4 linked regions of the Yarrowia lipolytica genome follow. The protein of the gene in region 4 purifies or fractionates together with the protein of the main gene of each other region. This does not show direct contact. Links are inferred from orthologs where the notes say so. Each region holds a gene or a part of one and is shown on either strand. Other genes may lie near its edges.

The links.
Region 1: the proteins of YALI1_F28453g (region 4) and YALI1_E33024g purify together in Saccharomyces cerevisiae (affinity purification with mass spectrometry; 5 studies listed by BioGRID, with this or other methods). This does not show direct contact. The link is inferred for Yarrowia lipolytica from reciprocal best matches to the Saccharomyces cerevisiae genes RPF1 and TIF6.
Region 2: the proteins of YALI1_F28453g (region 4) and YALI1_B21714g purify together in Saccharomyces cerevisiae (affinity purification with mass spectrometry; 8 studies listed by BioGRID, with this or other methods). This does not show direct contact. The link is inferred for Yarrowia lipolytica from reciprocal best matches to the Saccharomyces cerevisiae genes RPF1 and NSA1.
Region 3: the proteins of YALI1_F28453g (region 4) and YALI1_D32424g purify together in Saccharomyces cerevisiae (affinity purification with mass spectrometry; 4 studies listed by BioGRID, with this or other methods). This does not show direct contact. The link is inferred for Yarrowia lipolytica from reciprocal best matches to the Saccharomyces cerevisiae genes RPF1 and DBP10.

The regions. Positions count from the first base shown.
Region 1 is NC_090774.1:3,298,831-3,305,349, forward strand, and holds YALI1_E33024g (uncharacterized protein), read right to left. Parts: upstream 3,562-6,519; coding exon 2,821-3,561; downstream 1-2,820. Other genes in the region: YALI1_E33002g (uncharacterized protein), read right to left, coding at 1-1,355; YALI1_E33056g (uncharacterized protein), read right to left, coding at 4,149-6,519. UniProt on the Saccharomyces cerevisiae protein: Binds to the 60S ribosomal subunit and prevents its association with the 40S ribosomal subunit to form the 80S initiation complex in the cytoplasm. Is also involved in ribosome biogenesis.
Region 2 is NC_090771.1:2,167,520-2,174,664, reverse strand, and holds YALI1_B21714g (uncharacterized protein), read right to left. Parts: upstream 3,257-7,145; coding exon 2,024-3,256; downstream 1-2,023. Other genes in the region: YALI1_B21737g (uncharacterized protein), read right to left, coding at 1-886; YALI1_B21675g (uncharacterized protein), read right to left, coding at 3,822-7,103. UniProt on the Saccharomyces cerevisiae protein: Involved in the biogenesis of the 60S ribosomal subunit.
Region 3 is NC_090773.1:3,237,179-3,245,652, forward strand, and holds YALI1_D32424g (uncharacterized protein), read right to left. Parts: upstream 5,195-8,474; coding exon 2,414-5,194; downstream 1-2,413. Other genes in the region: YALI1_D32435g (uncharacterized protein), read left to right, coding at 6,244-7,116; YALI1_D32455g (uncharacterized protein), read left to right, coding at 8,256-8,474. UniProt on the Saccharomyces cerevisiae protein: ATP-binding RNA helicase involved in the biogenesis of 60S ribosomal subunits and is required for the normal formation of 25S and 5.8S rRNAs.
Region 4 is NC_090775.1:2,840,240-2,847,259, forward strand, and holds YALI1_F28453g (uncharacterized protein), read right to left. Parts: upstream 5,145-7,020; coding exon 4,143-5,144; downstream 1-4,142. Other genes in the region: YALI1_F28393g (uncharacterized protein), read left to right, coding at 1-3,380; YALI1_F28459g (uncharacterized protein), read left to right, coding at 5,713-6,096; YALI1_F28467g (uncharacterized protein), read left to right, coding at 6,496-7,020. UniProt on the Saccharomyces cerevisiae protein: Essential protein. Required for biogenesis of the 60S ribosomal subunit.

The sequences.
Region 1 (6,519 bases), on a different chromosome or scaffold from region 4:
TGCTGGTTCAGAGCAAAAGTAATGGCCTTGACATGTTCCAAGATGCCCTGGATGTCGTCGCTTTTTTCCTTCTCTTTTTCCTTCTCCTTCTCCTTCTCTTCCTCTTCATGTAGCACCAGCATAGTTCCGTCGTGGATATCGCTCAGATGCGACTCTTCCAGCTCATACTCCACTCCAGATTTTTTGTCACGAATGTAAATGTTGGGGAAATCGTCTGCTCCAGGAGAGTAGTTGAATGTGGAGATGAATAGGAGTCTCAGAGCGTTGATGTTGACATCCGAGTCAGCCTTGACCTTTTTGGTAGCATTTCCAAGTCTAAGAAACAAAGACATTCCAGGTCCTCCAACATCTGTAGCCGTAGACACATCGCCTAAATCACTCTCGTCGGGAAGAGGAGTCGATGGCAACATGGGCATGTCTGGAACGGCCTTTCCAGGTGCTCCAGAGGTAAGTTTGGCGTATTGGTAAGCCGAGAATCGTCTGGATGCTCGTCTTTCGAGCGCCTCTCCTCGTTGTAAAGCTGCCAGAGGGTCTCCACGTGATCCCGGGCGTCTGGTCGGAGAGCCCTGGGGAATGGCAGGGGCCATGGCTTGAGCCATAGCTCCAGGTATGCCAGGAGGCATGTGAGCTGGTGGGGCCATATGCGGTGGCTGCGGCGGTTGTCGGGCCACCGGTGGACTGGGTAATCCTGGCTGCTTAGGTGCTGAGCCTATAGTTTGAGACCGTCGCACATGGTCTCTATCATCCTTGTGCTGTGGCAGAGAGGTGGGTGCTGAGACCTGTCTGGAGGGTCCGTATTGATGCTGGGGCGGGTGTGGTCGGAAATTTTTGGGTGATTGTTGAGGTGGGATCTGTTGCGCCTGTGCTCCTTGAGCTGCTCTAAGTGCAGCCTGTTTCTTCTTCAGACCCTGAAGCAGGTTGATGATGATTTCCCGAATGCTGGGCAGGTACAGATCGAGGTTTTCCTGCGATGCTTCTTCGCTTAGCGCCTTTTCTAGCACCGTCCGCAGCGCCTGGGGCACATCGCCCATGTCAGTGACGGGCAAGCCGGCGTTGAGAAACGCTCGACAGGCAATGTTGAACTCGTTGCCCAGATTGACGTAGATGTCGGACACGTCCTGTTCAGAGGCTGCTCCGCGGGCCCATTGCGTGAGGCTCTCAAGCAGCTGTTTGGTTGCTACCAGCAGATGGGTGACGCTGGACTCAATGGAGTTCATGGCAGTCGAGTTGCGGGCCATGGGGGTCTGAGCAGACAGACGTCTTGACGAGCCTGTGGGAGCCTGCTGGTTGTGGCTCTGGTGATGCGGAGGGTGCGCCATGGGTGGCGGAGGGTGCTGCCCACCGTGGTACGACATGGGTGGTGATGGACAGGTTGTAGTGAGTGTACCTTGGTGTGGGCCAGACTGCACTTCTTGAATTAGGTGTAATATGTGTCCCACAAACCTTGGGAATGTGTTTAGCTTTGTTGGTGGACACGGAAGGGGAGCTAAAGCAGGGGCGGGAGGATGCGATGTCAAGGTGTGAGTGACTTGTATAGTGGTTGTATCCAACACTGCTTTGCCGAAAAAAAAATAAACAAGACCCTGTCACCACACACTGCTCTATCTTTACATCATCCCCACAAGGTTCTACTTACCCCAATCATGTGATGTTGCAGATGCACTAGCAAGAAAAAACCATTGTCCCACCAACGGCTCAAAACCACAACCACACTCAATACTGTAGTCTTGCGGCGAAGAGTTACATGACGAGTAGATAATAATGCCGTTCTCGGGTATCTGCCAAGAGATAACGATTGAAGAGGGTTTGAAAAAATATATGAGTTCTCAGCTTGAACATTAGCAGCAATAGAGAAACTTCTAACGTGTAACATGGATGAAACATTACGTCATTCCACCTATCGTACTGGGTATTTTTATTACCCAGTGAGGGGGTACATTAGTAAGCTATTTTGTAGTACTGTGAGTTGATTTTCAACTACAAGTAGTTACTGTAATTGTACAGCACGAGTACGAATATTTACTTATGGGGTGAGGGTCGTGAGTTGGATTATAATAGAGCGCCAGAATACAAAAATTGCCTTGGTTGTCGCCTAGAATTTCGCACCAATATTTGTCAGTTTTGGTGTAGCACCAGAACAGCTTATCGTGGCCTACAGTACATACTGTGGTGAAGTCGTACAATTTCAGGGTTAGTCAGGATTAGCCAGGGTTATTTAGGAGAATGCTGAACTGTTACTGCTGTAGTACACAGACACACGCCCCAGTTGGTCAAGTCAACAAGCTTGACCGCTTTACTTGGATTTCTCATGTACATTTCAACAATCACTGATCTCATGACTTCACGATACAACTCATCTACAGTAGTATTTATCATTAGTGGCTGAAGCTTGGAGCATTTTTCAACGTGGGATTTTCTTAATGTAAGAAAACTACTGTACAGAGGTGACTTCAAGCGCGTGTTTCTAAGGAACGTCTTACGTTATTTCCATAAGCAGTGTGTGACCACTGAAGTACATCGGAGGAAGACAATTACAAAGACATTCGTTATAGTACACTGTCATACCACACCCTACTCTCATTACAAGTACCGGTACAGGTACACAATCCCACCTTGGCAGCTTGTATTATCTATCTAATTAAAACTGCGAATAGTGCCATGCAAAGGAATACTGATCCGTTGGAGACACACCCATATTTTGAAGTCAGGCCATGCCAAATACATAATGCATAATAGTTTAAGCGATGCTCGCTGTTGAGTAGAGCTCGCACTGCAGCCAGCACACCAGTGTGTTGACGAGGAGAAGCAGACTGGCTGTGCTTAACCCATCTGCTGGTACAGCTGGGACCACTTGGTCTGCTCCCACTGCTCGCCCTGCTGGTCGTTGTTGAGCTTGAATATACTGCTCATGACAGTAAGCTCGAAAGAGGTGGTGGCGTAACCAGCAACGGCCATCCAGTCGTTGACAACACAGCCAGCGCCGACAACAGGAGAACCTCGGTTGACGGATCCAGCAATCAGGGGGACCTGGAGAAGCGAAGAAAGCTCATCCTGGTCCTCAATGGAGGTCTGGGGGTGGACAATACCTCCCTGGTTGGACAGGGCACAGTAAGAGCCGACAAGCACATTTCCAGCAACAGTCTGTCGGAAGACCTCAACACCAAGCACATCGGCAATCAGCTCTTCGGTCTCTCGCTCGATATCGGGATGCACAAGAGCGGCGTAGTCGTTGGTACAGATGACGTTTCCAAGAGCAGATAGACGCTCCTCAACTCGCTGGATCTTGACCTCGTCGGGCAGGGAGTTTCGCAGGTGCTGCAGCTCAACATCCGAAGTGGTGGAGGGCACAAGCAGACCTCGTCGGTTGCCGGCTGTGAGACGGCCCACGAGTCGGGTGCCGCCAATGGTGGAGTAGACAATAGGAATGGTATCTTGGAGCTCGGCCTCGAAAGAGCTGTAGAAGTTCTCGGAGCCGCCAACAGCCACCAGACAGTAGGAGTTGGTGAGCTTGGAAAAGACACCAATCTCGTCAGAGTTTTCAAACTGGGCACGGGTAGCCATTATGTTGATTGATTTTTTTGAATAAGGGGTGAAGTGTGGTTATTCAGGCTTGCGGTGGATACTGCCTATCTTTATGTTTTGCATTGCAGCACAATTTTTTCATGACCGTGCAGCTCAGCTGCGTGCTGGAGTATACTGTGACTGATCTCGTCAACGTGTAGTTCTTGTCATGTCATACGTGCAGACAGTATGCAACTGTGATGGGCCGGTGGCGATATATGTGTAGATTGTGTGTGTGTCTTGCGGCAGGCTGTTTGGTACGTATGGTGGCGGATCGTATTCATGTAACAACAAGATAGTCCGACTGTTTGTGGACTCATACTTGAATTGAATATCGACTTACTACGGAATATATTGTAATACCTCCATTGGCTCAGACTGTGATCGGAGATTGACTCAGTTAGTAAGCAGACCAAGGGTGGGGCGAAATGTCCCTTTCAGAATATTCGGTTTTACTCTCATTTCTTCTATCATTACCCACCACAGTTCGTGTTACTGTACACACTACTGTAGAGATACAGCGATCCATTTATACAGTTAATTCATTATTTTATACAATATTTAGCTACCTCCTAGCAAAAAATACCTTAGTCGAGATCCATCTCGTCGTCAAAGTCATCGTAGGAATCTTCAGCCAGCTCCATGTCCGTCTCGCCGTCATGGTTGGGCAGAATCTCCAGACCCTTGTCTCCTCGGATGATTCGGACCTCCTCGCCGTCCTTAATCTGGTGCTTCAGAAGCATGACAGCAAGCTTGTTGAGAACCTCGTTCTGGATGAGTCGGTTGAGAGGTCGAGCACCGAGGTCGGGGCTGTAACCGTTCTCCACCAGGTAGTCCATGGCGTCCTCATCGAGATGAAGTTTGAGGTTTCGGTTGTTGTGCTCGAATCGCTTCGAAATCTCATGGAGACGAATGTTGATGATTCGTCGAATGGACTTCTTAGACAGCCGGTTGAAGACAACCATAGCGGTGATTCGGTTGAGAAACTCGGGTCGGAAGTGGCCCTTGACAGCCTCCATGACCAGGTCTCGAGTGGACTGGTCAATGGTAGTCGAGGTCGATCGGTTGATGAACTCCGCACCCAGGTTGGAAGTCATGATAATGATACAGTTGGATGCGTTGACCACCTTTCCGGCGGAAGATCGCACTCGACCATCATCAAGAACCTGCAGAAGAACAGTGAGCACCTCGGGAGCAGCCTTCTCAACCTCATCGAACAACACAACGGAGTAGGGCTTTCGGATCAGGGCCTCGGTAAGAATACCACCCTCCTCGTATCCAACGTATCCGGGAGCAGCACCAATCAGCTTGGAGCCGGAGTGCTTGTCCATGAGCTCGGAACAGTCGATTCGGATCATGGCCTGCTCGTCAGCAAACAGGAAACCTGCCAGCTTCTTGGCAAGCTCAGTCTTACCGGAACCGGAGAGACCAAGGAAAAGGAAAGAAGCGGGGGCGTTGGGGTTGGCAAGACCCGATCGAGACAGTCTGATCGCGTTGGAAACGGCCTTGACAGCCTCGGGTTGGCCAACAACTTCTCGAGAAAGCACCTTCTCCATGTTGATGAGCTTGGTGTTCTCGGCCTGGGTCAGCTTGGTGACAGGGATACCAGTCAGTCGAGCCGCAGTCTCAGCTACCTGGTCGGCGCCAACAACGTCCTTGATCATGGACTTCTCCTTAGCGGCATTCTCCTCTTCAAGCTCAACAATTCGCTTCTTCAGATCCGGAATGGCAAAGTATCGCAGATCAGCAGCAGTGGAAGTGTCTCGTCGTCGCTCGGCGTCGAGAGCCTTGGTCTCGAGCTCATCAACCTTGTGCTTGAGGTTGTTAAGCTCAACGTGACCTGCTCGCTCTCGCTCAAAGGTCTCTCGCAGAGGTCCGAGCTCCTCCTCAATGTCAGCCACTCGGTGCTTCGCGGCATCAAGACGCTCCTTGGTACCCTGGTCGGCGTGCTGGTCTCGCTCCAGAGCCTTGACCTCGATCATGAGCAGATCAAGCTCTCGCTCCAGGGAGTCCAGATGCTCGGGTCGAGAGTCTCGAGCAACAGCAACAGCGGCTGCAGCCTCATCGACCAGATCGACGGCCGAATCGGGCAGCTTTCGGTAGGTGAGGTATCGGGAAGCCAGCTGAGCAGCAGAAACCAGGGCAGAGTCCAGAATTCGGACTCCGTGATGCAGCTCGTACTTGTTCTGGATACCTCGCAGAATGGCGACGGTCTCTCGAATAGTAGGCTCTCGCACGTCGATCTTCTGGAATCGTCGCTCAAAGGCGGCATCCTTCTCAACGTGCTTTCGGTACTCTTCGTTGGTGGTGGCACCGATACAGTGGAGGGAACCTCGAGCAAGCATGGGCTTGAGCAGGTTGGCAGCATCACCCTTTCCATCACCCATGAGCATATGGATCTCATCGATGAACAGGATGATCATGTCCTTGGAGTCCTCAATCTCCTTGAGAACACCCTTGATTCGCTCCTCAAAGTCTCCCTGGTACTTGGCACCAGCCTTGAGAGCTCCCAGATCGAGAGAGAAGAGCTGGCAGTTAGCCAGAACGTTGGGGACATCGCCGTCGATGATTCGCTGCGCGACACCCTCGACAATTGAGGTCTTACCCACACCGGGATCACCAATCAGACAAGGGTTGGACTTGGTTCGTCGTGCCAGCACTCGGATACATCGTCGGATCTCCTCCTCTCGGCCAATGACAGGGTCAATCTTACCCTCTCGAGCCTGTTTGGTCATGTCAATGGCATACTTGTTGAGGAACTCGAACTCGTCGGCTCCGTCAGCGGTTCGCGAGTCAATTCGTCGCTTTCCTCGCACGGCTGTGATGTTGGCCTCCATGACGTCCTTCTTAATACCGCACTCCTTGAGAATGCTCTCAATAGAGGAGTCATCGAGAAGGGCCATGAGAATGTGGTCCTGGCCCACGTACTCGTCCTTTTGTCGCTGCTTGTACTTGATG
Region 2 (7,145 bases), on a different chromosome or scaffold from region 4:
GCATGGGCACTCCCCCCAAAGCATGCCCCATGGGTGCTCCAAACCACGGGTTGTAGTTGGACCGGAACCCGAACTCCTGGTCCTGAGTAGGGTCTATTATTCCATCCCAGCTTCCCGGCTGGCGTTGCTGTCCCATCATCTTCTCGTACTGCTTGCGTTGGTGTTCTTCCGGACTGGTATAATAGGCATTGTCTCCGGGTGAAATGTAGGCGAAGTTATTGTCCTTCTTTCTACGCTGCTGTTGGGGTTGCTGATGAGCCTGGGTTAACTGGAAGTCTCTCCAGTAGTCCGCATTCTGTCGTTGCATCTCACGCTGCATGAAGTAATAATCATAGGGGGTTTGGTGAGAACCAAAAGGAACATGTGTCGGATACAGCATGTAAGGATTGTGGGGAGGTGGTAGGGGTGGTCGAGATGCTGGGTCTTCTTCGTCGACAGCCAACGAGTCGTGTTGGTACATGAGAGGATCGGACTGAAATTTGCGCGAGCTGCTCTTCTTCTTTTTCGTCTTCGTAATCTTCTTATTGGGCGACTTTTCAGGGGAAGCGTTGTTTTCTTCAGTAGGTAAGAGATCCCCGATTCCCAGAGAAGAGGCCGGTTTCTTGGAATTGCTTTTGGCCCTAGTCTTTTTGCCTCGCTCGGCCCTCTTTACCTCATGGTCATCCTCCACGTGCTGATACTCAAAGTCCGAGTCGTCCGTCCCTGAGCCTGGATCTCGCTTGCCCATCTTATGCACAGTCTTGTTCACCCTTTTGAGCACCTTTTGCATACCCTTCGGCTGAGGAGCACCCACAAACACATTGTCCATCAGTTGGTCGGCATTGGCTAGGTGTGGCGATGGGTTTGGGTCCCCATACCCGTGGTATTGTGGTGGCACTGTGTACATGTGCGATGGTGTGGCCGTGTGAAGTTGTAGTGTTGTCAGGGATCAGTAGTGTGTGTCTGTCTTTCAGTTGCGTGTTCAATATCTGTAGCGTGCCCTTTTTGTGAACCAGCGCAATGTGTTTCTGTCGATGTGATGTGTCGAAAATCCCTGCCATGCTCCTCCGCTTTGATCCTGTTAGTCTGGTTAAACTTCGGACCATTATTATTACAATTCCCAAACAAGCACACGATGCATGTGGCCGTGAGATAAGAGAGTTTATTGGGGCTGCAACAGGCCCTTACAAGTAGTGTTATATATTTTTGGGGCGCTGAAGGAGATTCGCATAATTTTTTACATCTCAGGGTTTTATCTACTCACATGAGCCTTCACCCCTTTGCTTCTATGTCCCCTTCTTTACTACTATATAGGGGGCTGGGTGGTCCACATGCCACTCTATACAGCACACTGTACACCTGCATTTCAGCTGCAACACTGCTGTAATCATTGTGTAGCGTTGCGCTACAAGTAGGGGTCACTGGACTCCCACGATATTACAGCTACGGCCATGAATCAAATTACAACAACAACACTTGGAATGAGAAGAGCTAAATTACGGTATAATTATAGGAATGTGGCACATCCTGAGACTACGTACATCAAACTCACATACAGTTTCGAGAGCGAAGATATTAAAATGTGAGACAAACAGGGGATATTCTTCAACGTCAGCCCGAGCTTGCAGAATGGTCAGTTGAGTCTGTGTGCGTTACAACTACAGTACGTTCATAAACCAACTACGGCGGTACAGATACTGTAAATTAAAGTATATACTATTGGGTACACTACTAATTACTGTAAAAGTGCTAGTGATGTGCGAGTAGTGCTGACACATCCGTTCTCTGACATGTTTGGTGACACAAATGACACGATGAATATGTTTCATCGTTTGATTCCCATCGCAAAACTCCCTGGAAGACAGTTTTAGATTTGCCACATGTAAGATACCAGACCTGCTATGATGTACAATACCCACGCTCTCTGAGTCTCGATGGTTGTGACCATATTCTATCTTTATGAAATTCGCTCTTACTGCACTTCCTTTTGGTTGTTCTGGTTCTGAAGACACTGCTTCTAAATCTTATAATACATTAATTACATCTACGCCGACTTGAGCTTCTTCTTGCCCTCGTCGTTGCCAGCGACCCTTCTCTTGTTGCTCTTCTTCTCGACCTTGTCTAGATCGTTCCACAGCTCGTCATCCTCCTTCTCAGCTGTTTCCTCCACATGCTTTTCCTGGGCTGTCTTTCGCTCGGTATCCACGAAAAGCAGAGAGGACACTTGGGTACCCACGAACATCTTTGCAGTGCACTCGGTGGTCTCGAGATCAAAAATTCGAAGGTATCGGTCAAGACCAACGGTAGCCAACAAACCATTGTCGGTGGTAACTAAATGCAAAACGGCACCGAGAGATCCGGGGAACTTCTCGACGACACAGGGAGACTTTCTGTTGTGTTCCTTGTTCTGGTTGTTGTCTTTGTTTTTCAGTACAATCTTCTCATTGTCTGCAAAGTTGAACTTGAACGTAGAGGAGTGGGCATCTGAAGAGACGACGTTGGAGGCATCCATACCGGGTGCCAAGGTTCGCAGAGGATCCTTTGTCACCTTGAAGTCCCACTTCGGTCGCTTTCCATGCCATGTCTCATACACTCTGATCTGTCCATGTCTGGTGGCAGTGATGACTCTGAATCCATCCTTGTCAGAAGCCTGGAAAAGAATTCCAGAAATCCACACCGGCACCCGCATATCGATTTCGTTGGACTTGACATTTCGGGCCTGAAACTCGGATCTCACGGTGACTTCGTCACCTTTAACAGCCCATCCAAACACCTCCAAATCTCGCTCCTTTCCACCCACGGCAATCTTGCCAGGATACAGCTCCCTGTCCAGAGCGAAGCATGCCAAGGGGCCCTTGACAGAGGCAGTGGGGGCGTCGTATGGCTTGTCGGACTCAATGGTGACCTTCGAAACATCGAGGAAAAAGAGTCGACCATCTTCCAGACCGGCAACCACAGTATTGTCGTCATACTGGGTAAGACCAATCCAGGGACATTTTTCTGCCCCCTCAGCAGAGTAGACGAAAATCGGAGTCGACTCCTCGGTCAAAAGGTATGGGTAGACTTCAATGGTACCGTTCTTTCGCGCGGCAGCAATGTATTTGGTGCCCTTTGATGTGGTGACCAGGGCCAGCTTTTGAATGTGCTTCAGTTTACCAAGAGCAGCGAAGGATGTGATGAGGGGCTGAGGTCCGTCCTGGACCGAGGTGTCCATTCCCTCGTCAAAAACAACTTCTTTGATTGCTCCAGTATCTTCGGCGGCCAGAAAAATCTTCATTGTGTACTGTAATGTGATTCCCAGACTTTGCTCGAGATACGATGTTGTCAGACTGCGTGCATGAATTTTTTTAGAGTTTCTGCAGTCGGTCTTGAGCGAAGCGAATAAGTAGAGGGGGCTGTGATACAAAGAGAAAATGGTGACTCCGATTATTGTTGAATTACACGGGGGGAGGAGGGGGGCAGCTTTCTGAATTGCCACCAAGATGATTTACTTTTGAACACTTTTCTTCACCCGTTGAGCAGGAAAGAACTTCTTAAATAAGTCGATAATTGTACAAATTAACGAGTATTACCTTACTTGTACTTGACATATTTGTTGTCATGAAGTCAGCTTGACAGATGGGCCACTCCGAACACCATCTGAGACAGACGCTGTCCTCGCTGTTCCCTGTGACTGTCAACTTTCTTATTGATGGGAACAAGCACGAATGGCACATATGCGATAGGATATTACAGGCTTTGTGCCCCCCATGGCTGGTTTCTACAAGTATATGGCTCATGTATAAACAAGGCAAGTCTACAAGACATGGGCATAATACATAATGATAATAAGTTAGATACTCCTAAAAAGAATTATTAGCTGAGTTGACGGAAGTGCTAGGAGAGTGTCCGATGGGGAAACCGGTCTTCTCAACGGGGCTTCTTCCCTTGGCCTGACGGGGGTGGAAAATGCCAGAGACACCGGAATGGGTGGATCGATGACCCAGGAGACTCTGTTGGGCCGATGAATAAGAAGTATTGGATGCCTGCTGAGTGATCTGGTTGAACAGGTCGTTCAACGAGTTGTTCTCAGTTGACGAAGAGGCGGAATTGAGTGAGGACTCCGACGCCTTTCGGGACATGGCCGGATGAGGAACTCCCAGGTCGGGGAAGGAAGCCACCGACATTTGAGAAGGCGACATGGATGTGGGGGTGAGTTGCGAGGCAGCCATCTTAGCCATCTGCTCCTGCTGCTGCATATGGAGCTGCTCCAGTTGTGACAACTGCTGCAACTGCGAAAGCTGTTGGTTCTGGTGCTGCTGCAACAGGGCCTGCTGCTGAGCCTGCTGTTGGGCTGCGAGTTGCTGCTGGGCCTGCTGCTGGGCCTGCTGCTGGGCCTGCTGCTCAGCAACATACTGAGCCTGGGTCTGAGCCTGGGCCTGAGCCTGGGCCTGTGCTCGGGCCTGGGCCTGCGCTTGAGCCTGAGCCTGAAGTTGGGCCTGTTGTTGAGCAACGAGCTGCTGTTCAAGAGCAGCCATCTGCTGATACTGATACTGGGCGGCAGCCTGATATTGGGCAGCGGCCTGATACTGGGCGGCAGCTTGCTGCTGGGCAATAGCTTGCGCCTGAGCCTGGGATACCTGGTAGTGCTGGGTATTCTGGGCCTGAGAAGCCTGCTGCTGCTGAAGCTGGCTGAGCTGCTCCATCAGCTGATACTGAGCCACCTGTTGAGGAGTGTATTGGCCCTGAACAGGAGTCATGCTACCAACAGGAGTGTGCTGCTGAACAGGAGACAGAACGGGTGAGTAGTGTACTTGGGGGGTCTGTCGACCGGCAGCCTGGAGCTGCTCCAGAAGAGACATCTGAGGAGTCTGGGCCATCTGTCGTTGAACAGGAGATAAGGGCTGAATGGGGCTCACGTAGAAGTTACTCTGAGTCATGGGGGTCATTCGAGCAGCCTGTTGCTGGGCAGCCATCTGTTCAAGAATGGACATGGGCTTCGGGGTCTGAGGGACACCAGGATGATGTTGCTGCTGCACAGGATAATGCTGCTGCAGAGAAGCCTGGCTGGGGACCTGAGCCATACCCTGGTACTGGGGCAGCAGCTGATGCATGGCATGGACCTGCTGGGTCTGTGCGAGGTTTCGAATTTGCGTCAGCTGAGGATGCAGCTGGTTGTCGTGCTGGAAGTCATGAGCCTCTGTCTGGAACATTGCTGGAGGAGCAAACGCGGGGCGAGGAGTGGCAGCTCCAGAGGCCTTTGGCGTGGACTGATTACTATCTGAAGTAGGCGATGACGAATGGGGAGCAGGCTTCTTCTTGGGCAGTTTTCTAGCCGTTGATGCAGGGCGAGTGGCCAGATAGTACCGAATCTCGGCATCCAGATCGCTCATGGCAGGAGAAGTGAAATTCACCTTGGGGGTTGTGAAGTAGTTGATTTCCGTGGGCTGCTGGAAAGAGGCCACTTCATTGTCGATAGCCAAGGGAGGCGAAATGGTGTACTGGCCAGGGGTGGTTGTTCCAGAAACTGTGGGTCCACCAGACGTGGCAGACGTGCCCGAAACGGAATGAGCTCTAGGCGAGGCATCGTGTGAAGAGCCTCCGTGTCGAGCAGGACTCAGAATCATGGCTTCAGGAAGAGGCTCCAGCGGAGTGGGCAGAGAAGACGACCGCCAAGGGATAGACGGCGCAATGGAAGAAGGAGTCAAGGGCATGAATGCGGTGGCCAGAGACGTGCGGGCATTAGGCTTGCCGTCCATCTTCAAAGGAGATGGGATGTTGAATCTTTTCTTGTTAGGCGAATCGGAGGGCGACTCAGGTCCAGGACTCAGGTAGGTCACGGGAGTGCACTCAAAGGCAGCACCTCCAGAATCATCCGACTTAGGGTCTCCGGGATTAGAAACCTGCAGGTCAGGCACTGGTAGCGCTCCCTGTGTGGAAGTAGTCTGACCCATGGTAGATCGACCGTTGAAAGAACTGAAGTCGAGCAGTTTTTCGAAAATGTTACCTCTCGACTTTCGAGCCTCCTTGAGACGAGCAGCGTCCTCTTCAGCGGCAAGCTTGGCAGCTTCTCGTTCCTCAGCGTCCTCCTCCTCAGCCACTTGCAGTTCATCGTCCAGATAGTAGTTCAGAATGTCTGAGTTTTTGGACATTTGTCTGGAATGGGCTGTGGCTGTACCCGCAGTGCCGGGGCTGGCAGTGTGGTCTGAAGAAGTCGACATTTTGTTGCTGTCTTGGTCTTCCTTAGTTTCTTCGTCTAAGTAAGGGATATCCAAATGCAAAGAGCCAACGTTGGGCGATTCCAAATGAGGACTATCTGCGTAGTAAGAAGAGCCTCCCCTAGAGTTGACATTAGCTTCAGGCATCTGAGGGGGCTCCAGAAGAGCGCTATCTCTGTCTTCTCCGGGGGTCTCCCAATGAGTCTCCATTCGGGCGTCTAGGCTGCCCAAGTGGCTCGTTCGGAAGTTACCCATGGGTCTATGTTGCTCTGCGTGGCCCAGCGAGTGGCTGATTTTCTGCGCGGGATCGGCTTCATGATTGTCTTCGTAGTGATTGGTCTGCTCGTCTTCCCACGTTGTTGCCAGTGACTGCTGGTTGGTATTAGAGTCCGCCACATAGTTTCCGTACTCGTTGTGTTTGTTGTTGTTGTTGTTCTGGTGCTCATTCTCCTCAGTGAATGAGAATTCATCGTATCTGGAGTCTGCGAGCGACGTCGGTCTGCTTTCTTCTTCTGCTGGTGCTGTGGCTCCCACAGGTTTACGAGTGATGGCAAACTTTGGGATTTCGCTGAAGTTCTGTTCGGACGAGAAACTGGTGTCGTTCATACTGTCTTGATGTCCGATATCGTGTTCTCTTCGGGTGGGGGAGCCCATCGAGCTCTGCTGCAGAGAAGGCACATCCCAGGTGTTATCCCAAACAGGGCTGCCCAGAGTTTCTTCGCTGTCGAGGTGTGGACTATCGAGGTGTCGAATGGAGTTTTTGCTGATTCGCCGGGTCTTCTTCTTTCTAGACAGAGAGCCGGAAAACGGGTTGAAGGAGTTGAGAATGTCCGCCTTGTTTCGCAATGGCGTGGTCATGGTTTTGGCGGCGGGCGACATTCCAGCAGGGTCGTTGGGGTCGAACTCCATGTCCGGGGAAGCTACCATACTTATTAGCAGGGCCCTGGTCGGTTTGCAGCGGTAACAATA
Region 3 (8,474 bases), on a different chromosome or scaffold from region 4:
ACTTTCCGTAAGAGAGGGATGAAGACCGTTTAAGGAAGAAGAAGAGATTTGGTGGGGGCCATGATGTATATAAGTTGGGACTTGTTAAGGTTTGAACATAAAGTTTATGTGAAAGTGTATGAGAAAGTCTACTGAAAACTTATTTTTGGATCATACTGAAACCTTGTCAATTTGCGAACTTAAATGAATATTTTTCGCTTAGAGTTGCTGGAGAGAGATGAAAATCAGAAGGGGTCAGAAAATCACGTGATATGTGGGGGAGGTTGGGAGAGAGAGCGAGGGGCCATCATGTTTGGGGTACATCATGTGCTCTACGGTAGGGAAATGCCACAAAAATGCGGCAAATAGCAACGTTAAATGGTTGAATTGTTTCATTTGAATTATTTTCTCATCTTTTATTTATGTTTATTTACTTGGGTTTCTTTGAACTTTGTTGAAAGTTTAATTAGCGTCTAGTGCAATGGTGATTCATTCTTGCTCTTGAACCGAGGGAATAGGTGACGATTCAATTGAGCGAAAATTGGGAAAGAAGGGGAAAATCGGGAAAGAAGGGGAAAATGGCTGAAATCAGAACGAAAAAAACAAAAACAAAAACAAAAACACACACATTTGCCCCGCCAACGTGTCACGTGACTTCTGGGGCCTGGCCGGCCGATTTGTGGCATGTTCCAAGCGTGTCCTGAACCGCGGGTTAAGTTTATTTGAATTGGGCGATGGCGAGAAAAAAACAACTGTAGAATCTGACTTAGTAGAAACAGGTATATTTTAACAGCGCAAATAACGTCTCTGGAGTCAGTAGTATTTATTTTCGATTTTTCCCGATCACCTCCAACCTTCCTTGCTCTGTCTACTGCCTTCCCAAATCTCCTCGATGTTGTTTTGGTTCATTTTTGGGACTACTTGCAGGCGTCTTCACAGGGGCCACAAGTGGGTCTATGAGGGCGTTTGGGGTCTCAAAATGGAGCCCCCGGCGGGGGAACACGGTCGTATTTTCCGCTAAGCGAGGGTGTGATTGTCTATGAGTTTTTATATATATATATAATTTTTTTTTATTCATTACAAAATTTATTCCTCCAACACCGCCGTAGAAAAAAAAAAAAAAAAAGGAAAAAAAAAAAAACAACCCCATACCAGAAGAATTTCTTCGTGCAACTCTTCACGCGACGTTTCAGATGAGTAAAAACGTAATTGGGCAATTTTATATTGCCAAGGGGACAAGAAGTTACCGAAAAATGGCCCAAAAAAAGACCGAAGTATGGCCCCCAAAATACCCCCAAAAGACTCGAAAAAGACCCAAAAAAGACCCAAAAAAGACCCAAGGCTCAAAAAGACCACCAATTTCTCCTTCAACACGTGCTGGGAATGGTTCTCCTGACTGTAAAGTTGGATCTACAAAAAGAACATAACAAGACGGCTGAATAGAAGTAGAAATATAAAATAATAAAATATAAAAAAAATATAAAATATAAAATATAAAATACAAACAAAAAAATATAGAACTAAAAGTACAGCCTTTAGAGAGTGTCACCTTATAACACCAGCGATTACCCAATCACGTGATTCATTTTCGTGCACCGGCTTTTTCTCTTTTTTGCTAATTTTTTCTCTTTTTTCCTCTTTTTCCGCGTTGTCCCACCAAGGCGAATATCACGTTGCCGGAGACTTATTTTTACTGGAGGAGAAATGACGTGCGGTCGAGAGTCGAAACTTAGCACGCGCAGCTATATCATGGATTTGGACACGCAGGAGTTCAAGTCAGTATGGAATCAGGTTTGGAATAGTTGGGAAATAGTTGAGAAATAGTTGAAGTGCACTGGGGGTATGTATGTAATTTGGTGTTCCAGAGATGCTGAAGCCACAAAAAGGATACCAGACGATAGATAATGAAGGATTTGATGACAAAAATGATATTTCTGGTAATTTTTATCATACAAAATCTCGAGTTGTGGAGCATTTCTTATCCTATCGAAGTCAACGTTACTTGGTCATTTGTTGGGAATTACTTGAGAACAATTCTGGGTTTTTTTTATAAACGTGATATTCTAGTTTTATTTTCTATAGTGCAATGGGCCGTGGCTCGGAAATATTCCAGTCTCGTGATGAGGAGATGGAACGGAGACGAAACAAAATGTTCTCGTGACATGGTAGTAGATGGGTGGGTTTGTTCTTCAAGAGTGTGTAGAAACTTCGGCGAGTCGAGATTGGTGGTTGGTGGTGGTGGTGGTGTCAGATGTACATGTGAGATCAACTGCGAGCATGAGGACATGTGAGGTCAAACACTCATCATAGAAGTCCCCAAAAGAGTCACTAAACGACGCCCTCCAGAAGACCCACGTGACTTTTCACGTGACCAAACAAAAAACCACCTAACCAGCGACCTCCTCGATCAACCCCAATCCTCCGAAGACTCCTCTTAACGCCCTCCACGACCTCCTCCACGACCTCCACGACCTCCACCCCTGCCACCCCGACTCGGCCGGGCATTCTTCTGCTTGCGCTTCTCGGCCAGGATTCGGCTCTTTCGAACATCGGCGGTGGACTTGAGCTCGCTCTTGGGCTGGGGTTTCTGGATTCGTCCGTCTTCCTTGGCAGCGGCGACCTTGGTCTTTTGCTTGTGGAAATCGTCTCGGTACTTGTCGGCTCGTTTGGGGGCTTCGTTTTTGTTGTGTTTGAACTCTCGCGCAGACAAAACCCGCTTAGTGGCAGGCCCAGACTCCTCCAGAGCGCCAACCTTGAGATTGCCGACCTTGTGGGCGGCCTTCCACTTATCGAATCGGCCCGACCGGAACGACGCGGCGATTCGCTGGCCTCCCTCACCTCGAATGAACTTCTTGCCACCCTCCGAGCCCGCGTTGATGAACTTACCCTTCTTCTTGTCCCACTTCATGCCCTGTTTCTGCTGCATTTCCGAGCCGTCGTTGATGAGATCAAACGTGGCATTGGACGCAGCCCCGGCAAAGTTGCCCACAGCATAGCCCTTATCGTCGTTGGTGGGTGCGTAGTGGGACATGAAGTTCTCCGAGTCTCTGAAGGAGCGCTTCTTGGACTTTTGCGCCTTCTTGGCCGCCCGAAGATCCTCCTCCGTAGTGAACCCGGTGAGATCCGCCTCGGTAGCCATATCTTCCTCGGTAGACCGGGCAATCTCCGCATCCTGCGAATGAACCAGACCCGCCAGCCGCTCCTTTTCCTGAATGGCACGCTTTTCCGCGGCCCGGCGCTGGATCGGAGCCAGCTGGGCCCGACGAGTGGCCATCATCTCGGCGCCAGAGGTGGTTTTGCTCTTGCGGAACTCAAACACCGTTTCTCGAATGCGCTTCTGGCCCAATCGTGCCAACAACGCGTCCTTGGCAGACTCGCCATCCTCGCCAAACATGAGATGATGGTCGTCCCATCCCAGTGCCATAATCTGCTTTGACCGCTTGGCCGACTCCTGAGAAGCACTTCCCTTGGTCTTGTTGTACATTCGCTCGCCCTTGACCGCAACCTCCGACAGCTGCTGCAGCTCGTACGAGTCCTTGACCATCTGGGCGAGCTCCTCGCCGTGGATTTCGAGCGCCTGGCGCGGAGGAGCTCCAATTGTCAGAGTGTTGACGTAATCGGGCTCGGCCGAAGGGTCGGGATTCTGTTGCTTGAACAACCGAGGAGTCAGTAGCTTGCGGCCCAAAAACACCTCCAGATCCAACAGATACGGAATGTCGTTGTCCTTGATGATGGAATAAGCCCATCCGCGGTTGCCGGCTCGAGCTGTTCGACCCACACGATGGATAAACACCTTGGGGGACGGAGGAAGCGAATAATTGATAACATTGGCCAGAACAGGCACATCAATACCTCGCGCAGCCACATCAGTGACCACCAAGATAGACGTTTTGCCCGTGCGGAACCGATACAGCTGGTTCTTACGAGCATGCTGGTCCAACGTGCCGTAAATGTACGAAACCGCGTACCCCAGAGTTTGAAGCAAGACAATGACATACTCCACATGATGCTTGGTGGGACAGAAGACGATGGTCGACTTTTCCGAGGGCAATTGGTGCGCAGGGGGCAGCCGTTCTTTCTTGAACTTGGGCCGTTTTTGTTTCCGGTCCTCATCCCGTTCTCCGTCGTCAATGGCCCGTTCATCCAGTCGCTCGAGCTCTTTGAGCTGCTCCGGCGTTGCAAACGGCATCTGGATCACCTCCTTGAGAATGAAGGCCAAGCAGGCGTCTCGCTGGTTCTCCTTGACGGCAAAAAACGTCATTTCCAAATGCTCTGGCAACTTGGTCTCGGCATCCAGACGAACCAGAATCGGGTCGTGAAGACCAGCCTTGGCAAACTCCACCAGCGTCTTGGGAAGCGTGGCGGAAAACAGCAGAGTCTGTCTGTTGCTGGGCAACGACGCTAACAGCTCGTTCATCTGCTCACCAAAACCCAGCTCGAACAGCCGGTCGGCCTCGTCGAAACAAATGTACTCCACCGACGCCAACGACAGCTCCATCTCCACCTTGAGATGCAGAAACCGGCCTGGGGTGGCGATAATAATGTCTGGATTGGACATCATCATTTTGAACTGCTCCTCCAGCGAATCGCCTCCAACCAACATGGCCAGACGCAGATCGGTGCCGGCAGAAAAGTCCTTGACCACCTTGAGCGTCTGCAGCGCTAGCTCACGTGACGGCGACAGAATCACCGCCCGCGCGCCCACCTTGGCGCTGTGGACCTTGAGCTTCTCCAACATGGGCAGCACAAACGCCGCTGTCTTGCCACTTCCGGTTCGGGCCATTCCCACCACGTCTTTGCCCTCCAGAACCAGCGGAATCGTCTTTCGCTGGATCGGCGTCGGCTGCTTGAACCCCTTTCGTGCAATATTTTTAAGCACCAACTGCGACAAACCCAGACCAGCAAAACTGCCCGAGCTTTTTTTGCCCGTTTGCGGTGCTCCAAAGTAGCTTTCCACCGAGTCGTCCGTCTTTTTCTTCTTCTTCTTTCTGCCCTCGTCGTCATCGTCGTCGTCGTCATCGTCATCGGACAGTTCCAGATTGGGGAAAGTCATGGTGCCCGGTTCGCCCTGCTGGGGCCCGGTCTCATCTTCACTGTCCTCAATAATGTCGGGAATCTCGCTGTCGGACTCTGATCCGGACGAATAGTCGTCTTCCGAATCCACCCCCGGATTCAAAGACCCCGCAATGTCGTATTCAACCTCACTGTCGGACATTTTCGTGCTGAAGTGTGGTATGTAGTAGGCTGTGAGATAGGGATAGATTCCAGGTAGAATTTATTGAGATAAGGTTTGGAAAAAAAATTAGAGGATAACTTTAAATATATATATATATATATTTTCAAGAAAAATCGAAACCTCGTCAGTTCGAGTTTGAGCACGACATTACTTGCAACATGCGAACTTGAAGAGAGCGAGAAATTGAACCATTTGAAAGAATAGATACAACATGAAACAGTCTAAGTGTATTTTCTTAATCAAATTTTGACCCGGTAGAACCCGAGATAGACGTGCAACCACCTGAACAGTTGCTTAGTTGGCGAAAATGGACATCGCAAGAGATATTGAGGAAAAACGGGTGGTTGAAATGGATTTCTGGAAGGAAGAGGAGTCCATTGGTATCTTCTAGTATGTTTCAGCTCAACTAGAACGCTCATTAAACCCATTCTCAATTCAGACCTCATACTGTTCGTAAAATGAGTAATTTTGAAAATGTAGAAAAAGTAATAGAATCAGTGGATAGCTTAGATCAAGAGAAATCCAATGGTGAACTCCATTTTCTTGTAGCTCTTCCCCATGGCTAGCTAAGTGCTTGTATAGAGACTCTGAGCATAGGAGACAATAAGTGATCGTTGCTTGAACTAGTCTGAAAGTCCGATTAAATCAATAAAAACTAAGACTAAAACTAGTACCAATGGTCAACCACAAACGCCACCATTCCAATCATATCATTATTTTCTCAATTTGATATTGTTTTACTATAGCTTGGGCAGATTCAATGATTTCTCATTCGCCACCGGTCTTAAACGTGTCTTATAGAATGTCTAATAGTGGTCAAATTTGTCTGATAAATTAACAGTTTCTCTATTCAAACCAGTATGATCAAATTAAGCCTGCTCCCAGCTCATTCCAGACAGTATTCATTATTCTCCAAAATGCCCCCAACCTCGAATCGAACCCACAAACACATTCACTCCCATCATTTCCAGATCACCACTGTCCAGATCACAGTCTGATCAACAACCTCCTCGACCTCCACAACCACCATGGGCTCTTCCGCAAGTAAGGCGAAGCGTTTCCAGCCCGCAGCCGAGGCCGGCAAGCGCGCCATCGATCTGTCCGTGAAAACCAAACATCAGCACATTCGCCAAGAGACGGCCGACCCCAATCGGTCGCAACCGGCTCCCATGCCCATGGCTTCGCAGACCAAGAACGAGGACATTGTCAGGGACGGCGGGGACCGAGATTTCGCGCGGCAGCTCATGGATCTCGGGGCCGTCAAACTGACCGAGTCTGAGGTCCAATACAGCAAGAGCAATCCTGTTTTGGAGGCTCTGAAGGCTCGCGAGGCCCTGGATGAGGCCGCTGAGGCCGAGTCTGGGGACTTTAGCAAGCCCCGAACGCTCCTGAACCCGGCCACCATCTCCGGAATTCTCGAGTCGCAAAAGGCTGGCGAAACAGACATCACTAGAGACTACAATCTGGCTCCCGGAGTGGCCGACAAGTTGAAGTATGTGAGTGTCCCCGAATACGAGTTTCTGGAGACCGCTGCGACCGAGGGAGAACGACACAGAGATACCTTTTCGCTGGACGGCGGCCGAGAAGACCCGGCTCTCAGCAAACTGGCCGATTCCGGCTTTGTTCAAGTTGAAGGAAGACATATTTCCGAGTTTGATAACGCCGATTATGTTCAGGTCGGAAAGGGCAGAAACGCTACTGCTGGAGGTCCTCAGCCTCAGGGAGTACCTGGAGAACTGCCGGACGACATTTTTGGAGATATTGCTCAGGCGTTCGAAGAGCAGAAAGACGGCGCCGAGGTGCCCAAAAGTAGACACCAGCAGGACCAGGACTTCTTCAACAGGGAAAAGGAAAGACGGTATCCCAAGAGAGATACAAAGCCGGTCACCGTGGAGCTTTGATTGTAGCGAGCAGCCGATCGACTACATCATATGACTGTTTGAACGACAGTTTCTGACCACAAGGCAGTCTATTGAAGTGCTTCTTGTGCGCCAATTAAGTGTATATATGTATATAGTGATTTATTGATGAGTGATTGTCTATTGTGGTAATGTTTGAACTATTTTTACTGACTTTAATTGACTTTACTTGACTTTACTTTGACTTTACTTGACTTTACTTGACTTTACTTGACTTTTACTTGACTTTACTTGACTTTTACTTGACTCTTTACTTGACTTTAATTATTTACTTGGGGTTATTTAGTAAACCGTCACCTAACGATCTTCAATTCACCCAGTTTTAGAGATATCGAGTCGGCGAAAAGTGCACAACAGTCCTCTCGCAATTCCAACAGCAGTTTCCACATCACTTTTCCAATATTCGGTCTATATTTACAAACCCGGTATTACTCTTGTCACTTATACAGTGAGTGCATTCTGACGCTGACACTTTACTCCAAACGCCCTCTAGCCCAACTCTTCTTCTCACACCTCACTCCAAACGAAAGCGACATATACACTGACACAGACGATGTCACACAGCCTGCATCCCGTCTGCCTGTCGCCCTACCACTCTCCCCAAACTATACAGTCAAACCAGAGGACGGAATCAGGTTCTGTCTCCAAATCTGCATTGGGTTGCGCAAATACCCTCCAAGTGGCTCAAACGCGCTCGTGCTCGCACAATTGCCCATTCCACTCAAATCAGAGATTGCAATCATGTTTTGTCTCCAAACTGTCTCCAGAGAGTATTTTGACTGAGGTGTGATTGTTTATGCGTCTGATGCTGATGTCAAGTCCCCACGCAGCTACGACCATAGTATGCCACCTTTGCGGACATACAAAGTCACTTGTTCAACCACTACTTCACTTGAGCCGAGTCTCGTCCGGTGTCTGTGTTGATAGCGAGGACTTCACACCTCAGATCACTACGTACATCTCTCCGTATCAACCTAAGCTTCACTCCTGCCCCCTTGGCAGCCTTGTTACGATACCGACGCCACTGCTCTTCTGACTGCTTACTCAAGCAAACAACAAGGTAAGACCAGGGAGCAGCTCCTATGGCGGTACAGTAGGGCTGGAGTGCACGGCTAGTGAACATGGTTGTCAGATCGATAACAACTTCTATCCCGCTTTTGCCACTCTTAGCTCAGACTCTGCCAGTCTTTCTCGCGGCTGTACGTAGATCTGCGGTAGTACGACAGATGTACGACAGATGCACGAGTACGAGCGAGTACAGTCAACCAAAGCCTGATTGTTCCCACGGTACGAGTATAAATTTCCATCCGATCTTTATACTCGCACAATACTGCGACTTT
Region 4 (7,020 bases):
TTTGTGATGCGATTGTCGACTCTGTCCCGGACGTCAACAACTGTATCTTCTGCAAGATGGTGTTCCCCGACATCGGCACTGCTATCCCCAATTGGCAGATCACGGGCATGCTCCAGTGTCCAGGTGTTAGTAGGGCAGTTTGTGGCACTGTCTTGCCTACCAGTGTTTCGCAGACAAGCCTTTCTACTTCATCTTCGACTTCGTTGGTTGCGTCTTCTTCTGACGCTTCTGTGTCCGGATCTTCTGCGTCCTTTCACACCTCTTCCCTTACAATTTCAGTTTCTTCATCTCAGATCAGCTCCACTGTTAACAGCACCTCTGCCGTCTCCAGCACTGCTTTTGTGTCCTCTGACAGCACCACTGAGTCGTCGGTATTCGAATCTTCATCTTCTTCGCCTTCGTCTACTGTTGCTGTCAATAGTAGTTCTGTTCCTGTAACTACCTCCTCTTCTCATTTCTCGAGTGCAGTGCCTTCCAGTCACAGCTCAGCTATTACCTCTTCGACTGTCGATACTACAGCCATCAAGTCTTCGTCTGATGGCTCTGGTTCGATAGTTTCTTCAGCTTCTGTTTCTTCTTCTAATGCCACATCTGGTATTTTTCCTTCGGACATCACCTCTTCTCAGGTGTCTAACTCTGGTTCAGTGTCCAGCAGCTCCGTCCCTAGCAGCTCGATATCGAGCTCTAGTACCGATTCCAGTTCTGGCGTCCCCAGCACTGTCGACTCGTCCTCAACTTCCGGCTTGCATTCTTCTGCCGTGACAACTGGACCGTCTTCATCTCTTTCTTCGACCACTTCTTTCTCCAACTCGACGACTGACAGAACTACCGCTGTCATTCCTCCTGGCACCCGGTCTTCATTCACAGCTTCTCAGACTGATGTTTCTTCGGGGCTGACAGATAGCTCTTCTGCTTCTAAGACTTCGGCCGTTGATTCATCAACTTCCGAGACCTCAGTCTCTAGTGCAGGAACGTCGGCTTCCAGTACTGGAGAATCGTCAGCTAGAACTTCAAAGTCAACTGCTTCTGAAAGTCTCTCGACTTCTGAAGTTTCATCTTCTGGCGTGACCTCTGAGTTGTCAGCTTCCTCAACTGTGACACCTGATGTCTCCAGCTCCTCTCTGTCTTCTGATCCTAGCTCGTCTGTATCCTCTGATGCATCAAGCTCGGTGTCTAACACAGCGTCGGCTAGACCAGTGTCTAGTTCAGATGTCTCCAGCACGGGTTCCAGTTCTGCGGGCAGTTCGGACTCATCTGCATCTACATCGGGACCTTCGGCCACTAATGTCGCATCCACTAGCTCAAGTGGCTCCGCTTCTGTGTCCTCTACAGACAGTAGTTCTGCTTCTTCTGAGACCAACAGTGGCATATCAAGCAATGGCCCTTCAACCGCTTCCACAAATTCTGCCCCTGCTTCTAGTTCTGCTTCCTCAACTGGTCCCAACTCAGACTCAAGCCATGATCCCACTTCTGCCCCTGCTACATCCAGCGATCCAAGCAGTACTGCAAACAGTGTTTCTCAGAGCTCGTCAAGTGCGTCCAGCTTGCCAGGTTCCAGCCTCTCGGCTCCGGACTCTTCAAGCGTATCTAGTTCTTCGGCTTCAGCCAGTGCTTCTTCGCTAGAGTCCAGCTCAAGCAGTGTGACCAGCTCGATTGTATCCAGCTCTGCAGGATCCAGCAGCAGCGACGAGACTTATACAGGTACATCTGCCACTTCAGGCTCGTCAGCGACAGGTTCGTCTTCCTCTGTCTCATCTGACTCCACTTCTGCCTCTACTACTGACTCTTCTTCGTCCAGCAGTTCGGCAAGTGCTTCGTCTGGATCTTCTGATCCAGGCACTGCTTCTGAGAGCGCAGCTGCTTCAGCCTCTGCATCTCGGTCTGCTTCTGCTTCTCCTTCAGCCTCTGTTTCTTCGGACACATCTTCTATCCCCCAGACTTCGGCTAACCTGGTGCCTTCAACCCGGTCCATTCCCTACAATGGCACTGCTCTTCCTCCCGTGGACAATGGTGTTAACCCCACTGCCAACCCCACAGACTCTCCTGTGTCGGCTCTCGGAGATGGTGAGTCCCCTGTCTCCGATGATAGCTCCCCTTCTCCTACTGGTGGTGCTGGAGATGTAAACGGCAATCCTAGCGATGGATCTGGCGACGGCAGCACAAGCGGCAGTAATGGCGGCGACACTAGCAACGGTTCTGGCAACGGTGACTCTAGTGATCCTAACAATAACGATCCTAACAACCCGAGTGATCCCAGCAACCCTGGTAACGATCCCAACGATCCCAACAGCCCCGACAGTCCCAGTAATGACCCTAACAGCGCTGATCCTTTCAATGCCAATAATCCCAGTGATCCCAACAATCCATTAAACTCTAACGATCCTTCGAACAACTCGAATAGCCCCAATAGCTTGAACGATCCCTCTAACGATCCCAGCGATCCGTCTTCTTCCGGTGCTGCTGGCGCCAATGGCGGTTCTCCTGGTAATGGAGGCTCTTCTGGGGGCTCTGGCAACGGTGGATCGGGTAACAGCGGCAGCGGAGGGACAGGATCAGGTAACAGTACGCCTGGATCTGGATCTGGCTCGTCTGGCTCATCTGGAGGTAATGGTGCTCCTGGATCTGGCAGTGGAGGTTCTAGCGGCGGTGGAAATGGTGGTGGAAATGGCGGTAACGGTGGAAATGGCGGTAACGGTGGAAATGGCGGTAGCGGTGGTGGAACCGATGGTGGATCGTCTGGTGGCGTCAGTGGTGGTTCTTCAGGAGGGTCCTCATCAGGATCGTCTGGAGGATCTAGTGGATCTTCTGGATCTAGTGTATCTTCTGGATCTTCTGGATCTTCTGGATCTTCTGGATCCTCTGGATCCTCTGGATCCTCTGGCTCTTCTGGCTCTTCTGGCTCTTCTGGCTCCGGATCGTCAGGCTCATCGGGATCTTCTGGCTCTTCTGGCTCCTCTGGCTCTTCTGGCTCCGGATCGTCAGGCTCATCGGGATCTTCAGGATCTTCTGGCTCATCAGGCTCCTCTGACTCGGGAACTGGTTTTTCGGGCTCGAGCGGTGGTTTTACTTCTGGCGACAACAACAACTCGCCTAACAACTCGCCTGATGCTAATTCTCCTAACTCCCAAAACCCCGACTCTCCTGACAGACCCACTTCTACCACTCCTCACAACAACGACGGTTCGCCTGCTTCGCCTGTGCAGCCTCCCATGGGCTCTCAAGGCACGATTCCCAATCTGCAGGGCAACCGAACCAACTCTACTCGGGGCAACAAATCCGAGGGCAGTACCACGTACGGTGGCCTGGGCGGCAATGGTTCCATGTTTGGTTCCGCCGCTACTGCGATTTCCATGAGTGTGGTTGTTCTGCTGCTGTTCTAGAAAGACTACAACAAAAACTCAAGACTGAAAGGTTTTATTTATTTATAGACTAATGCATGATATTATGGTAACTGCGATATAGTACAAGTACATTACTGTACTTAAATTGGGGTATATTGTACAGATATTGTATTTGGTGAGGTTCCCTCTCCCATAAAGAGAACTGTTCTACCCGACAGACACTTCCCTACACGTACTGGTATTTGGTTAGGGGCATAGTATGAGAACCGGTAGATTTACTGTCAAATTTCTCGTGAGTCAATACTTTAACCCGACATAATACCTGTTCATGGCTAATGAGAGCGGTTCACATCAACTTGCTATACCAAGTGGTGATGATTACTCAGCGTCATAGTACATACTGTAGTTTGTAGTGAAAATGGAGCGTTGTTGACTATTCATGAGATACAATGACCCCTATTCTGTAGCATCCACAGGCAACTCTTGTCACTGATGAGCGCCAACACAGACCTCACAACCCTACACCATTCCACTGTACACTACATACTCGTATGTACATACTGTACATACTCGACACATTACTACACAACACAACATCTCTCTGATCCTCCATAATTAACCAAATATACATTTCTATATCCTTGCAGTCCAATTAAACCACAAGAATGCAAGCGTGCGCCTGCAAATGAAGCCAGCGAGTTGTTGCCGAATCAGATTGAAGCCTTGTTAAGTCTGTATGACTGTCGAAAAGTGTTTGTCGATCTGTGAAAGCGTTCGATCCTCGCTGTGCTTGCAGTTCCCTTACAAATGGAACTTCTTCTTATCCTTATCCATGGCCGATCGATGCTCCCATTCCACCTCTCCTCGAATGCCTCTCTGAAGACGTCTGAGTCTCAGGGTGAACTGAGGACCCAATTCCTGCAGACCCACTCGCTCCTCATTCTTGAACACGTATCTGTGTCTTCGGAAGAAGATCCAGTCTCGCTGGTTATGCAGAGTCACCACCTGACGTCCCACAAACTCCGGTTGCTGAGGAAACATGGATTGGAACAGCCGTCCGACAGTCTTACCCAGTCGCGTGGAAAAGTTGTTGAGAATCAGCTCGGGAATGTGGGTTGTTGATCGGCCGTGGCCCTTGATCTCCTTAGGCATCTTCAAAGATGACACGGAGAAGTACATGGTGGGGCCCTCGGGCAGATGAATAAAGGTCAGGCCGTTCACCTTCTTTTTGTCCTCGTTGATCACCACCAGATCAGTGTAGTCTCTCTCGGCGCACATCTTGGCAATCTGCGTCATTGTGAAGTCTCCCACTCGCTTTTTGAACTCGGAGCCGGGGATAATGTCGTACAAAAGGTCTGCAAAGTCGTAGGCCTGTCCTCGAGCTCGCTTAGAGGTAGTGATCAGTACCTTGGGGGGCTTTCCCTCCTCAAAGTACTCTTTGAACTCATCCTCTCCCTCCATCTCCTGAGCGATGGTCTCATCATAGACTCGCTTGGCCTCGATGGTGTCAGGCACGTTCTCAGCCAGACGTTTCTCTTTGAGCTCGGGGTTCTTGGCCTCCTCCTTGGCTCGTTCCCTTCGCATCTCGTGTCGCTCCTTATTGAGCTTGTGCTTCATTTCCGCGAACACCTTCTTTCGCTTCTCCTTGTTGGCGATCCGAATATCTCGCTTTACCGTTCCCATCGTGTCTTGTAGTGTGCTATGGTGTCCGATTCTCTGCAAAACAAATTTCTTGAAAATATTGGAGATAAAAAAATCCTGCATGAACTTTATGCAGGTGGACAGAGAAGGCAGATTGAGCATACGGAGGGTAGAATGGGGGTTGTGGGGGTGAATGAAGTAATGTGGGTACTAAGATACGGAAATGACTAGAAAACCTTTGAAAGAAGCTACCATTATTCACATACCCCCACGTGGCAGCTATACCAGGACTATTTTATGCTTACTCTCTCCGCCATGTTCATTCAGAATAGGATGTGAAAATGGGACGTGAATTGAACTGGCGTTGGAGCATGTTTAAGCAAGTTTAAATAACTGTTTAGTGTAGTCTGCCTTCTCACTCTCAAATGGCTATACCAGTACTCTGAACGAAGGGGTTGTCTTGCCGCGTGAATCTTTGATATGTCTTGTGCTCATCCTGCTTGACAAGATGGACAAATAACTGAACGATACGAAGCTATTGGTGAAGTTCCTGGGAATGGAGGTTCCACCGTCTCATAACTGTTGGGGCCGAGTTATATGTCAATGGGAGAAAGGGAGGGATTGATATATTGATATATATTAAAAGCACTGGAGGAGTTTCGGAATCGTGGAGCCTCGTTGATTCCTTTTCACTTGGGGACATTGACAGCTGGGAGGGACTTACAGTAGTATGTGTCCCATCCAGCTGAGACCAGACAAGTTTCGAAATCAACTAAGGGCTCAAGTAGTTGGTTTGCACACAGACGGAGAGCAGACACAAAGAAAAGCGGCTCACTGTGTGCTCTATGTTAGTGCGACTGGTTTCATTGAAAAAATTACATGCATGAAAAATGAGACGCGTAAAATCATTTCAATCCATCAGACGCGAAGCCTGTGGGCGCGGTCAAGGATAGGTACATACTGTAGCTACAAGAAGTACCCCGACAGGCGTAGGAGCACAGCATTGGGTTGCACAGCATTGGATTGCATGGGCGTTGGATTGGCGTGTCTGCTAAGGCCCATAGTGCAAGAACCAGACATAAAAATAGACAGAAACAGCTATCCGAGATGTTAGAAAGTTCATCAGAACACACGAAGCTTGCTACGGATGTGAAAGATCTCATACAGGAGGTTTGGAGTCTCTCATCCTCCGTGGGGTTAGGGTAAACCAAAACAGGCAAATGAATCAGTTGATCGAGTGAACTCATACAATGTGTTGTGTCTTGAGGGGTTCTCATACGTTATAAACAATAGCTGGAAAAAAAGAAGTTTTGAATAAGCCCATTACCGGTTCTCACTTTCAGTCTCCTGTTTTGGTCACTAGACATTCACAACCCCATCGATCTACGAATACCTCATACTGAAATCAAGGTTTCAAATTTCACCATTTGGGACGGAGGCCAGACTGTGCTGTAAATACTGTCACTTTAAAGCACTAGTACAGATACGTCGTTATCACCACCCACAACACACCATGGCTATCTTGGAAGAAATCGACGATGTGGACAACATGGACTTTGATCCCGCGGAGTTCGATCCCCGGGCGGTTCTCACCGACGCCACCGCGCATCAGGAGAGTGACGGGCGAGGTCCCATCAACCTGATTTCCAAGGCTGAGCACGAGCGACGAGAACAAGCCAAAAAACAACAGGAGCAACAGCAGGAGCAACAGCAACAGGCCAACCCCATGGCCCAACTTCAGCAGATGATGGACCAGATGAACCAGGGCGGAGGTATGCCCCCCAACATGGGCCAGCAGGGCAAGCCCGGTACACAGGTGTTTGACTCGGAGGAGTTCAAGAACCAGGAGATCCAGGAGTCCGACTTTAAGGACTGGCAAATAGTCTACCCGGTCTACTTTGACAAGAACAAGACTGTGGGCGAGGGCCGACGAGTGCCTCTGGAGCTGGCTGTGGAGAACCCTCTGGGCCAGACCATCGCCGAAGCCTGCAAGATGCTCACCCTGCCTTCAATCTACGAGGCGCACAAGACTCACCCC